Struthio camelus: one gene and its partner. The protein of the gene in region 1 interacts with the protein of each later gene in a pairwise test. Links are inferred from orthologs where the notes say so. Each region holds a gene or a part of one and is shown on either strand. Other genes may lie near its edges.

Region 1 (6,933 bases):
AAGAGTAAGCAGTCTTTATCCAGAATTGTAAATGCTTGCTTTTGTTTTACAATCAAGGCCATATTCTGAAAATATTAGCAGGATATAGGACATGGTGTAAAATGTTTTTTTTATTATTATTATTATTTTATTATTATTTTAAAGATATGATTTATCCTATGTGCTGTATCCATTACACTCTTTTACTTTGGTTCCTGTTGTGCTCTTGTAAGAGAAATGCAGATATAATTTTCTGAAAAATAGATGCATATGTGGCACTCGGAGTGCACTGCGGTTCAGCAGATTGCTTGTTTACTTTTTTAACTGTAAGGCGGTTTCTTGTAATTTGGCTCTTGGCAGCACAATAAAAAAATTTTAAACCTACTGATGCATATTTTTTTTAATGTTTGTATTTATTACTTCCCTGAAGTGGTCCTTGAGGCATTAGTTTTTATCTTGATATTATTTTTCCCTTGAAGTAAGAATTCGTGTCATCAAGCTGACCTTAGTCCAGTACAATTGAGGAAAACTATAGGAAAAGAATAGTTACTTCAGCAACTATTCCTTCAGTTAGGGAAAGTTCTGAATTTTACACAGAAGAACCTTCACGTTAGAGGGGTTTGTGGAATCCCAGATAGTTTCAGCATATAGTAAATAAAAATCTCTCAAAGTTAGGCCTCCGCCATGCCATCTGGTCTAATCACAACTATCACGCAGAGTCACAAATAATCATATGGGGCTGTGGTATGAGCTTAATGGCCCTCCTATAGGTCCTATAGAAGGTCTGTAGAATCAGAGACCATGCTTAAACTCTCCTTTTCTGTTTTGTTTTTTTTTACTTGTTTATTTTTGATACATAATAACATGGAGCGAGGAGAACAACAGCAACAAGAGGGCCAGAAATCTCAGCTAAGTTTTCTCATGCCAAAAAGAAATGAAGCTTAGCTTTGTCACAATTAAAACACAGAAAAGCAAAAACGTATGTATGTTTAAAAAAAAAAAACTATACTCAACAAAACCAAAGGTCTGTCTAAGCTGGTACGTGGTCTCCAACTGTGACCCGTAGTGGATACGTAGGAAAGCGTGTAAAAAGAGGAAATGATGGTTTCTTTCCAGCAATTTGCATTTCAAGGACTTCCTGAGCCATAGAGAACACCCATATTAGCCCACAATGTTCTTTCTTCTATTAATTTGTAAAATAATTGAATTGATGGAAAGTTCTGGTTATCTGTAGCACCTTGAGGCAAGGAATTTCTCAGCTTAACTACATGATGTGTGGAAAAACTGCCTCCTTTTCTTGCTTTGACTGTACTCCCTTAATGGTTTCATTTGGTATCCCCTACTTTCAGCATCTAATTAGAGGAGTGGATCAGCATCTATATGCCACCCATTAATTTACAGACCTCCATCTTCTCTCTGTTTTGTCTTCTCTTTTCTGTGCTGTAGAGTCCTAGGCTTCTTGTATGAGAGCCATTCCATCCATACCTTTTGGTCATCCTTGCTCTTCATTGTATCACTTCCCATGCTATTACATCCTTTCTAGATCAACGGCAGAAGGACTGAAAATGTCCACATTGTTTAAACATGCTGCACCCTGGACATAGCCTTTTATATACTGGCTTGACTGCTACTGACCACCGAGTCAGTGTTCTCACAGAGGTAGCTGTAATAATCGAAAATGCCCAAGTAGTAGTAGTAGTAATGAAGCCCATCACTGACTTTGACTAGGACAGGTCAGCGGTTTTGTTTTGTTTTCCCCTCTCACATGCATCCCTTTATTTATGGATGCTGAATTTCATCCATATTTTATATAATGATTCAATATCATAATATATTGAAATTCTCACAGCCAGCCCTTACTTTTACTGCTCTGAATAACTTACTACCTTTTGTTTCTTTGCTATTCCCTCTCCTGTTCACATCCTTTCATGTGCTTAAGAGCATGTCCTCAAGTGTAGAGAATACCTGCTGGACTCTAGTGGTAACCCATAAAGAGGAGACCCAGTATTCACACCTCTCCCAGGTGAACAGATGCAGAAACCTAAATTCAGGGGTTTGATATCATTTTATTAAGTAGTCCTTTTTATACCTTCATCACATTTTAGCCCTATGGACTCCAGCAAACTTTTTACTCAAGATATAATCCAGAAAGGGGTTTACTATGGTATTTTGACTTTTGCAAGTTGTTTCTTAAATTCTTGATTTGCCTTGCTATATTTTTAGATTTAACCTGCTGGAGACTATGTACTGATTTCCTCATTTGGATGCAGCTCTACTGTCTGAAAGATGTCTGTTTCTGTCCAGTAATTTCCTTTCGCTTGCTAGTTAACTATTCCAGCTTTTTTGCTCTGAGAGGTCATATGTCTTCCAGAATAGTGTCTTTAAATATTCTTCACCCTGCCCGCAAACATTCCACTATTTCCTCAGGTCGTGCATGTGTAGGAAAAAAAAAAAATTTACGTACGTAGTAACGGGCAGTGCATGCTTTTACTGCTAAAAAAATGGATTATTATAAACAGTATTGTGAAAATACGTCATCACCAGTAACTTAACTAGGATGTTAGGAAGCAGGTACAAACCAAAGAACAACATTATGCCAATGTGTAAATCCATGGTGCACCCATGTGTGAACACTGAAAGTAGTCCTGGTCTCCCTCACACTATTCACAGTATCAGAAAGGATCGTATCTGGAATACCTACATAGACTAGGGAGCGTCAGCTTGGAAAAGCAGTAACTGCATGTTACAGGATAAATCTTTAAATGTCTTTAAATGTCTGTGCGGCATGGAGAAGCTGAACAAGGGATGGATTTTCCACTTGCTGTCTCTTTCAAAATAGCAAGTAGGAAGTATGAAAAGAAACTTAAGATCTTGTATTTGCTTTGAGTCTTCTTCAAGCGGAGAAGTTTCTTGCCAGGTACTACTGGGGATGCCAAAAGTTTACAGCGGATCAAAGAAGTTCTAGATTAAAAAAAGCCTGTCATAAGCTATTGTACAAATAGATGTCACATAAAAGACAGAAAAGGACTGGAAGGGGAGTGACGATGTGCTAATAAAAACCAAGTATTTCCAAAAGTTCATTTCATGCTTGTGGATGGCCAAATTCTGAAAATAACCCGAAACCCACGCATCCCCAGCTTACCAGGTTACAATGAAATTACAGCAAACATTCCTCCTTTCCCTTCCCTCCCTTTTCCCCAGTGAACTGCCCCGTTGTTCAGAAGCACTGCGTTTAGGCCTCAGGCCCACAGCCATCACCTTCCTTGGAGAGAAACCCCAGTTCTCCAGAAACGATGCTTTTCATTGTCGAAGCTTAAATCCGCAAACGCATCTCTCCGCTTTCTCTAGCGGTGGTAAAATTAAGCAGCGACTCTCCAGTTTTTACAGAAGCACGGCGGTATCCTTTGAAATGCCTGTTTCCAAGGCGTCTTTGTTAGCGGCAGCAGCACCTCCGGGACCGGTCTTCCCCCTTCGCAGCAAGTCTCCACGCCGCCGCCACAGGGCAGGCTGCGGGCCGCGCCCCGTGCCTCTACCGGGGCAAAGGCTGGGTGGTCCCGGGCAACGCACCCGAGCCCACGCCGGCTACAAACGGCCGCTCTAGGCAGGTTCAGCGCTGCTCGGTGCCCGCCGTGGCCGGGAGGCACCGCTTCACCCTCGGGCGCAGACGCCGGGTCGACCTCGCCTCAGCGCGGCCGCGGATAACGCGCCGCCCCGTCCGCCGCCAGCACCTCCCCCCTCGGCGGCGCGCGCCAAGCCCCGCCCCCCGCGGCGGCCGTTGGGGCGCGGCCGTTGGGCCGCCCAGCGCCGTCAAGCGCCCCGCCCCTCCCCCCGCCCCCCTCCGTCCCCGGCCGGCGCTGCGGGAGGGGCCGGGAGCGCGCAGCGCCGAGTGTCGCTGCCGGGGGCGCGCAGCCCGGTGTCTCCTGCTGCGGCGGCGGCGGCGGCGATGGCGGCCTCGCAGCGAGACCCGGGGGACTGGCAGGACTTCTCGGGTTTCCAGCCCGCCGCGGGGAGCGGCCCCGAGGCGGCCCGCGACAAAGGCGGCTGGGGAGCGGGGGATTTGGCGGCTAAGTTGTCGCTCTGCTTTGAGCCCCCGCAGGCCCGCGGCGGCGGCGGCGGCGGCGGCGGCGGGGGGGAGAGCCGCGTTGCGCTGCGGCCCCTCACGGAGCAGAGCGCCCTGCAGGACGACGAGTGAGTGCGGCCCGGCGGGGCAGGGCCCGGCGGCGGCCGTCGCGGGGGCGGCCGTCGCAGGCAGCAGGAAGGGGTGTGGGGCCGGAGGGGGGGAGGGAGCCGTAGGGGGTCTGTGGGTCGGCCTCAGCCCTTGCTGTCTGAAAGCGTCGCCTCGGGGCCTTCTGGCCCGAGCCCCCGCGCTGCCCTTTATCCTGCCTTAGGGGTCGGCTGCTCTCGCCCAGTCTGAGCAGGGCTTGAGGTCTTTGCCCTCGCCGTGGGCCTGGGGGCCGGCGGGCCTGGCACCGGCAGTTCAGACGGGCTTTTTCGACCTGAACCGGGAAGGGTTGGCCGAGCCGCTGGCGCTAGTTTGGCTTTAAGCCTTTTGGCTTGTAACTGTCAAAAAAAAAAGTGCATATCTCAGTGTCTCTTCCCTTTTGGGTAACTGTTCTGAAGCACAAAGTGACTGAAGGTAATATTTATTTAGCTTCTTGTAAAATGCCCACAGGGCAGTGTTTGTCTGAAATCATATGTGGAAAGCAGTTTAGATGCGGAAGAGAATCTCGGAGAAAATCGCAACTATAATTATGTTTTATTCACTGAGTAACAGAGTCTTTTTGAGCTATGCTGTTTTTCTTTTCACGTTATTTTGTAGCTGCAAATCTCACTGTTGGCTTATCTTCTTTAGTAATACTGCAGCATTTTTTTTTTTACCTTGACATAACTAGACTGTATCTCCTATCCTAAGAAAATAATCTAGAAAAACACCACACTCGAGGTATCTATGGTATAAAGAGTGAGATAAGTATAGAGAACCCTGAATTAGAGTGGCTGTGCAGTGCTAGGGTGTCTGCCTGCCCTTCGGAGTCTGCCTGAGTCTCTGACCTCCTCTGAGCCCAGCTAGGCAACCACTCCAAGTATGCATCAACTGTTAGCTGACTTGAGGCAACCTGCTAATAGGGCTGCTCTGTTTCAAAATCTGAACTGGTGTCTCAAAGTACTGCAGCACATGCAAGGCCAGAGTTTGTTGTACAGTGTGAACGTGGTTAAGATGAACTGTAAACAAGAGTGAGGAGCTGAGCTGAGCAAGAGTGCGTCTGGATAAAATGAAATTCTGCTGGATCTTAGTATAACTTGTGCCTGTTCGTTATTCTGAGCTAAATAGAAAAAAAAGAAGCTTTTACAGATGCAGTTAAAACAAGCTGTAAAAATTGAGGTTTGGCTTGGAAGTTGCTCTTCAGCCTCTGCTAATTCCGAATTTCAAGGTGCAAAAGGCAAGGAAAATAGTAACACTGGGAAAAGAGCTTATAGCTTGCCTGAGATTTCATCAAAGGAAGGGCTCATCCACTTCCAAAAGAGATTTCAAATATGGTTATATAATTTTTGATGAAGCTGTCTTTTTATTCTGTTATTTCACTGCCATGCATAAACTTGAGATTTAAAAAGAGAGATACAGGATGCCTTTCAAAAACATTTTTTTCTTTGACTTCAGAATATTACTAAAATATTGTCAGTAACTTGTAGATGAGTATTTAGAGAGAAAAATAGTTATTGGTAGAAATATATTATCATTAAAAATATGTTAACTGCTGATCAGTTGCTATTCATGTGAAGGTCTGCATTTTTGTTCCTTTATTCCTCTCTGCAGGATTTGGAATGCTTTGACTGATAATTATGGTAACGTAATGCCAGTTGACTGGAAATCTTCCCACACCAGAGCTTTGCACTTGCCAACACTGAATCTTTCAGAAAAAGGGGTAAGTTCTGACTATCAAAAATACCCTGTTGGGGCTCTTTTATGCTCAGCAGGGGAAATAAAACAATTTATATTTGTACAAAATAGTGTTGATCTTAAATGACTTAAAATATTTTTTGTGCTTGGCCTTAGGCATAAGTATGAGAGGATTTATAACCATCTGATAACCATTGATATGTATTTGCTTTTCTTCAATATGAAGTATATAAGGGTTAGTTTTAGATGAGTGAATAAGCTAACGTTCGCCAGAGCAGAGCATGATAGGCAAAATTGTAAATCGTGAAAGTGTTTGGCATAAAAACTTTCTCCTGGCCTTTCATGCTGAAGTAGTCCGTGATGGGGCAAGGAAGGAGGGGGTATTCTTATTGAGTAAATCCACTGTGGACTTTTTCAGTGATGACCTCATTCGACAGTCAGATAGATGCTAAAGTGAATTCATTTGCAGGAAAGAAGACCCAGGAGATACTAAAATGCAACAGTTCAGTTTGTATTTAACAAGCAAAATAGTTGTCTAAAGAGGGAGTACAGAATGAAAAGTTTCAGAGATTTAAAGAAACAGTTGTCCTGTGATCTTCTGAAAAGTCAGTTAAAACACTTAGGAAGCAAAGCTGGGAGGAATTCCAGTCTCCAAAGTCTTCTGAGTAAACAGGTTATTTATCTTTTAAACATACTGAAGTTTAGTTGTAAAAACACGTGCCTGTGTGAAACCTGAAAATAAATGAGTGTTTGACTTTTGCTATCCGTTAAGTAATCCACAGCTACTTTTCTTACAGTGACAGAAAAAAAGATTGTGAAAAGGATACCCGAAAAAAAATTATTTTTTTCTGCAGGAGAGGATGACAGTCTGGAACTCTGTTTCTGTTTGGGTCTGATTATTTATTTTCTTGAATTTGACTTGATTTATTCTGATTTTTATTAATAGAGGATTTGTTAATATTTTCTAAGTGGTTTTAGAGTAATTCAGTCTTTACAGTAAAGTAAAAACAGTTGCCTGTTCCCTTGTTCTATGACTGAAAAGATGAACCAGAAGACTG
Region 2 (7,528 bases), on another chromosome or scaffold:
TGTTGGCCTGTTACCGGTTTGATCCTCCTTGTAATCATCTGCTGTGTGTCTGTCACCGAATTTCGTGGAAGACTTTTTAGCGAGGTTCCATAAAGCTGTACTAGTAACAATGAGATGAAAAGCTATTTTCCTGTTTTATTAAGTTAGGCCTAAGTATTTAGAGCTTTATTTCTGCTTTTTAAAGAGAATGTATGAGAATATATGAGAAATTCAGTCCTTAATGTTGGCTTTCTGGGAAATAGTATTTTAAAAAAAGAATAAGAGAAGTTTATGCAACTTTTAGGTATTGTTTCACTGTTTTGTTTTCTTTTTGGCTTAATTTCTTCTTTACTTTCATTTGGGCCTGTAATTTTAGGGGGGGAAAGATTATCAATTGAGTGCTATGATTTTATACATTAAAGGATATTTCTTTCACTAAGGGTGAAAATATTTTCTTACCTCTCACAAATGCTGTTAATGAATGCTTTCCTTGGTTTCAAAGGCTTGTGATATTGCTATTAACATATTGATCAAGAATTTTGTCTTGCTGCCATTTCATTTTCATCCTGATTTAAAGTGATTTATTTTTAATACCTGTGTACTGAATGACTAGCAAAATGCTACTGTTTTGAAAGAGCATTAGCTATTAAATATTCATGGATTGCGCTCAGTTAATCAGGCTCAGAAACCCCTGTTGCTTTGTCACAATAGCTTTTCACTATACTAAAGAAACTCTGATATGAAGGATTTTTTTTTGATTATGTTATCAGATTGTATATATGTAACGCATTCTTCTACTTGTCTATGTTAGTACATTTTTAAAAGATGGGAGGAAAGCCTCATGTGGTGAGTGCAAATATAACGTAGTTCATTAAAACCAGTGCGTCTTTGTGATCCTACTTAAATTGTAATTATGGAACACTTGCTTCTAAACATCATCAGCTCATCCTCAGGCAAAGTCCGCTTGTTCATAATGTTATTTTAAGATGTATGTATTGCTTGTTGTGTTTCTTTATTCCTTGCATGAACTTACTGCTGTCCATCCTAAGGAATCTTTTTCTCTCTCACTCTATAATACTTTTCTCCTCCTCTCTCCATGAACCTTACTATATTCTCTCTCTCTCTCTCTCTCTCTCTCTCTCTCTCCCTTCAAGAGAAAGCTTACCTGAATATATCACTTTGTTTTCAGTTGCTCTGAATTTCTCTCTCGACTTTTGAGTGACTCTCCCTCCCTCTTCACTACTGGGAAAACGCTCTGGTATCAGTAGCAGATCTTGTATTAAGAGGCCTCATTTGGGGAGTTCATTCTTCTTGGAGAGCGATCCACTTGTACTTCAGATCTTTGTGCAGTGCATGCTACACATCTTACTTGTTTAATTTCAGATGAAGAGGGGAACTATTAATGCTGTCTGGAAGTGGTTTAAAAAAATGGAAAGTTCTGCTATACAGTGCAATCAGCGATAACAATCTTTGTGTAACTCAGAAGGGACTGAATTTCAGAATAGAAAGGAATAGCACAGGAGCAAAGTCCTCTTCCTGATGTGAACACGAGCTTCATATGACTTTGGGTGTGTTACTGCAGTCAAGAATCTAGTAATTTTAGAGGTGCAATTTCTTAGGTGCAGCAGAATCTTATTTGCACTATTGCTGAGCAGTTACTTCTACATCTGTGATATCTGTCAGAGCTTAAGCATTAGTGAATATCAAGTCCTGAATGCCTAGGCTGGCTTTACTGTTGCATAGCTTAGCCTCTCTGGAAGTCATTGCAGAGTCATTCCTAATCTGTTCTTGCCCTATTATCTGTGCAGCAAGCCACGAAAAGGTGTCGTAGGAAACTTACTGTTCTGCACTTTTTCAGAGAAATAGTCTTAGGTTCACTGTCAGGAAGACACTCTGTTATTGCAAGACTTGCCCCAAGGACTTGAATTTTATCTTATTGTGAATAGTTCAAGTCAACCACATATGTCACTAAGCTATATGCTTTAAAAAAAACAAAGTAATTGCATTGAAACATCCATTTCAGCTCCATCATGCTCATATGAAATTGCTGAAGAACTACATTCTAAAAATAAGGTTAACTTCATGTGCTTTTTATATACAAGATATAGAAGATGGAACTTAAAATAACATTTTTTTTTAATCTTAAAAAAAAAAAGTAAAGAAAGGAAAAATGGGACTTGCATTATTCATTAATCAACAATCCAGAAGCTAGTGTAAATTAGCACAGGTCTATGGCAGCCATGCTGACTTGCTACAGTTGATACTCTGGCCGCACCTTTCTAAATAATTTATTGTCACTCATATTAACTCACGTCATTTTTCCAGTATATAGAAATATCCTGCCTCTCATTCCAAATCACTTTTACTCCGTAAGTTAGAGGGGCAAAGGGAGACATTCTTTGCTTTTGTAGTTTCCTTAAAAACTACTAAATTCTTAATAATGGGGATTTAAATGATCAGTTCATTTCTGTTACTAATTAGTTTGTATCACTTTTTGTGAGCTCTCACTAGAGCATGTCAAACAGCACCTTTCCACATTCAAGAGGAAAGGCTGAGACTATCTGTATTTTTTTGATATTAGCAACTACTAAGTTAACGCTTCTGAAATTTTTTTCTTTCTAAACAAGTGAAAGATAACATGTATTTCTTATCTGAGCAGATATCTTATTCTTAACATATGCTATTATGTGAAAACTGTGATAGCCCCTAGACCCCCCAAAATCTCAATTTTTAATTAGTCGTAAGGCTTATTCAACTGTTTACTTAAGGGCATTTTCTAAAAATACATTGTACTTGGTAATGAGGAACAAGAGATTTGTGTGCTCACCCAGTGTTATTATTCAGCCGATGGAATCTGTAGTTCATCACTAGATTACTGTAGTTCCTTACCTGAATCGTCTGCCAAAGAAATGTTGGTGAAAGTGCCGTCCTCCTCATCCAGAGGTAACTCCATTTTGCTTCCTTCTTTTGAGCAAAGTTTAAGTGCATTAAGCATAACAGTTGTCAGCCATTTTTCAGTGTGCATGTGACTTCTCTTGTTAAATCTTTAATGAGTCCATACACCACACAGGTGTTATCTGATCCTGTCTGCAACTATACACATCTTTCTTTCAGTGTGGTATCTCATCTGAACTTTGAGCTCTTTTCCGGAAATTGTTAAACTGGAAGGTTAAAGAGTATAACAGCTTTGTCAAATACATACTGAGCAAATGCCATTGTTTCAGACTCTTTTTGTGAAAGAACTGTGTTTTCACGCTAAGGAGGCTTAGTTTTTTAATTTTTCTCTAGGGCCGTGTACGTTTCTTTGGATAGAGGAAAAGAGGGAAAAATTGACTTTTAAGTGTTCAGAAATGTTACTTATAGCCCAAACAAATTCAATAGACAGTTTTGGGAGCAGCCGGTTAAAAATCTAGTCTTCACATGCTTAGGAATATGAGTAGTTTTACATATGTGAAGAGTCGCATCAAAACCAGTGGAGTAGTGCATGCAAGTAAAGTTATGTAAGTGAGCATGTGATGTTCTGTGATAGGTTCTGTGATGTTCTGTTGTCAGAAAGAACTTTAGTTCAAACAAAAAAAAACTTGCCTCTTCATATTTTGTCTGGACACATCTACAGAAAACTGAACATAGTTTGAACATACAAACTAGGAAATTCACCTCAGACTACTTACCGCTTGGAAATACCTATCTTTTGCACTCATGGGTAGAACGTTGGTTTCAACTTATTTAAAATTATGAATGGCTCTGATTTTGATCAAAGACAATGTAGTGAAAGTGGAACCATGTCATTTTCAGGGGTTTGCAGGTTCAGAGTCTGCCTGATTTGATTTATGTTTAATTAATTTTTTTCCAGGAAAAGGCTATAAATTTAGGATATTGACAAAGGATTTTTTAATTGTAATTAGGAACCTCTCTGAAGTCTCACTAAAAACTGAATGTTAGTTATGTGAAGCATTGTCTAACTACAGAATGAGAATTTACAGTTTGCCTTTCACACAACCATAATCTTGATTTGGACTCCCGAGGCAGCTTCTTTGTACAGAGGTAAATGCATGCAAGTTTGCAGGAAGAAAGGAAAAAGATAGTAAACACAGAGGCATGGGAAGTGATGAAGTGATGCAGCTTACAGAAATGATAACTGTAATGCTGCTCATTTTTTTTCCCTGATACTTTAATTGCTTGTGCATGCTTTAATTTTATTATTTGATTATTTTTTTTTTTCCCCCCCTGTTCCTGTAGGTGTAAAGCTACTGACAACTGCCTTCAGGAAGTACTGAAAATTAAGCATGCTGCATTTATTTTCAGAACAGGGTTGTGAGTTATTCATTTGAATTTAGCTCTAACTGATGTGAAACAGAAAAGATTGCCTTGGTCTTGAGTAGTCTGTATAAGAGACCTCCTTGTTTCATTCCAAATCCTTGGGTATCACAAAAGCTGATGTTAGTAATTGATACATGTGTGGACAGACTTGGCAAGCACCAAAGAGATGTGGAGGCTCTATATACCTAAAATGTGATTCTCGGTGAGAGCTGGGACTTTTATGACACTGTATAGGATTATGGGCTATATCCGTTCCATGAGTAAAAGCTGAAGTCCAAGATTTTACTGTATGTGTTTCTAAAAAGTTTTATGTTTACTTGTAAATTCTGAATGAAAAAGGAAAAGGAAGAAGGAGAGATGGGAGAAAACAAGCAGTTAATGGAACTTCCAACAGATAGTAATGCTGTCATATGTCCACAGGTGTGTTAACTATTTTCACCTGGTCTTTTCTCAGATGTTGCCCAATTTTAGCTGCTTATAATCCTTCTCTGTTGTCATGTTGAAATTTGATTGTTTCCTTTGATGGGGGAATGCCTATGTTTCTTTTTTCTTCTTTCAGTGGTGCAATAGCATGCTTCAGAATGTTCACAGTAACTATAATAAAGCTAGAAAAAGGGGAAACATTTCAATCTTTCTTTATTTTTGTCCTTTACTGTTTTCATACATGTTATAGATGGTTGAAACACCTGATCAACTTGTTTTGGAAGGGCAGATCAAAAAAACCAGCACAATTATGTAATTCATTACTTCTGAATTTTATGAAATTATATGCGTGTGGAACTAAGGGATGAATCTTGTCTGAACTGTGCAGCCTGTATCTAAAGTGTTTGTTTAACATTTCTTGCCTGTGTCAATGTGGTTCTATTATATTGGCCATTTGGGCTCCCTCTGGTAGATACAATTTCCATGTAAATTATTATCTGTTTTTAGACAGATTAGACATCGAAAACAATTGTGCAACCTCCACATTCATTATGCAGCATAATCTGCATGTCTACATCAAAGCTGCTAGTAAAGGTGATGTATAGTAAAAGCTGTATGTTAGTAAGACTGAATAAGAATCTCTGCAGAAGAATGTGTGATTTGGAGTTTGGCAGTCTCATGTGATATGTACTGATTCCTGCAATTTCTGAGGTAAGGCTCTTATACCAAAGACATTCCACCTTATACAGCACCAAAGAGCTGTAACCTGAGGAGTTATTTTTCATGGCGTACGGACTCTTGACTGCAAGGCTCAAAATTAAGGCTGCTCCGCAAGTGTGATTCAGAGCTCCTTTACAGCCTCTTTGGAAGGTCTTTGGACAAATCACATACTTCAGTTCCTCAGTCAGTGCTTCTCTCATTGCCCCTGCAGAAGGAGGGAGAGTGCATAAAGTGTAGGTGCATATATATAAATACATGCATATAGTCACTCTGGTGCTATTTACAGAGCTGCATTGTTTCCCAGAAGATTGCCTTTCATGGGCATCTGGAAATCTACTGGGTTTGTGGGAGATCTCCACAGCTGGTTCACAGAAACAGACTCTTTCCCCAACAGGAGGGGATGGGATTTAACTAGGAGGGCTCCAAAGACATTGTCTCATCTTTCTTGCACACAGGGTTTTACACATTTAAAACATACGCCTATGTTCTGCGTCTTTAAAAGCACCGTAGAGTTAGATCTATAGCTTGCTTGTCTGAGTGGTGTGGTGAGAAACATTTTCTCTATTGGTGGCCTGATATTTTGTTAGTGAAATAAGGTGCTTTGATGAAAGGTGCCGCGTAGGTGTGACACAAAAGTACCCATTTTTTGCTGTCATCATGTTTGTTTTGTGAGGAAGAGCAGGAAGGAATAGCTGTAGACAGAGGAACTCTGAATAGCTTGAAAGAAAGCTGTGTAATGGAGTTAACTGTCAGAGCACAATGAGCTTAACTATTTCCATCTGTGAATTACTTCACTTTACATTAGTGTCCATTACTCCAGTAAAAGTTTGGTTATAAAACATCAGTTCATCTTGCTCAGGGTTTCATTAGTACATTGAAAAGAGGTTGGGGAGTACCTAGCAGCTCTCTGGCTGCCTCTTTAAACAGGGGTGGGTAAATTAAGGCTGGGGGAGGTAGGAGAGGCTGTGAGCCTTTTATTTGACATTAGCGCAACAGCACCTGGGAATGTTGGTAGCCTTGTGCTAGGCCAGTTCCGAGGAGTATTGATAACAAGCAGGTTAGCAAAGCACTGTCTGGATATGACAGTCATGAAAGCAGCAGATAAATGCCTAAGAATGTCATCAAGTTTGGAACTGAAATGACTCTGCAAGCTGAGGATTTTATATCAAGTTGGGCAACTTTGTATGAAATATGCAATTATAGGAGGGTTTTTGTCCTTAGATTTAAAACATTGTAGCTAAAATCTGCATAGTAGTGGCTTGTTTCCCTTTTTGCTACTGTAGCTACCGTGTAATTTTTTTTCCTAATTAAAATAATTGAATAGTGACCTGGAAAGGAAGTTGGCTTGGAGTTAAGTACAGATGTATGGAACACCATAGCTGAACGACAGCATGGGCTGTGACACTTATTTATACTAACAGTTTAACAGCGCTTCTAGCTCAGTTGAGGCAGACTGCAGTGCAACGCTCTTTATGCAGACCTCAGCCTTGCACTTATGAAGTGAACTGAACTATAGTATCAAATTATTCAAGTGCTCCTCACCTGCTTTCCTGAGTCTGCTGTTATAGGGCTAATTTGTCATCTGGGAATCCACAGCTGTGATGTGGTACCTTTGGAAACATTTCTTGGTGCCTGTATTTCAAACCTTGCTCTAGCTTGGCAAGGCAAGAGGAAAGAGTGGGATCAGAGACAGGAGGTTAGTAAGTGGAGAGAGGTTTTGTCATGTGTACCACCTCATAAAATCTTGTTGGACCCCTTGTTTCAAAGCTGTTATTTTACCTGTATGTTTAGCTGTATATTTATCTCTATACCTGGTAGCACCCTGATACTTTCTGGATATCTTTAGTAGTAGAAAAAAAAAAAAAAGGGTCACAAAAACACTCAAGTGAAAGAAAGTTTCTAACTACCCCAGGGAATACTGGAACAGAGTCAGAATGTCTCTGAGTAGGTTACATGCTTGTGACAGCACAGTTGTAATGGTTGATATTGCATTGGGTTGCACTGCACTGTCTCAGATATTAACATATTCAGCTGCTTCTGTTGCATAGTGGTTTGATAAAGAGAAAGTCTAATTTTAAGGCAAGTT

Evidence for each region. The genes of interacting proteins can lie anywhere in the genome.
Region 2: the proteins of FEZ2 (region 1) and SCOC interact in binary tests that used the Homo sapiens proteins (3 or more experiments, as listed by UniProt). The link is inferred for Struthio camelus from reciprocal best matches to the Homo sapiens genes FEZ2 and SCOC.

Annotation. Positions count from the first base shown.
Region 1 is NC_090944.1:101,997,384-102,004,316, forward strand, and holds the start of FEZ2 (fasciculation and elongation protein zeta-2), read left to right. Parts: upstream 1-3,822; 5' UTR 3,823-3,922; coding exon 3,923-4,167; intron 4,168-5,791; coding exon 5,792-5,900; intron 5,901-6,933. UniProt on the Homo sapiens protein: Involved in axonal outgrowth and fasciculation.
Region 2 is NC_090945.1:32,973,582-32,981,109, reverse strand, and holds the start of SCOC (short coiled-coil protein), read right to left. Parts: upstream 3,109-7,528; 5' UTR 3,005-3,108; coding exon 2,869-3,004; intron 1-2,868. UniProt on the Homo sapiens protein: Positive regulator of amino acid starvation-induced autophagy.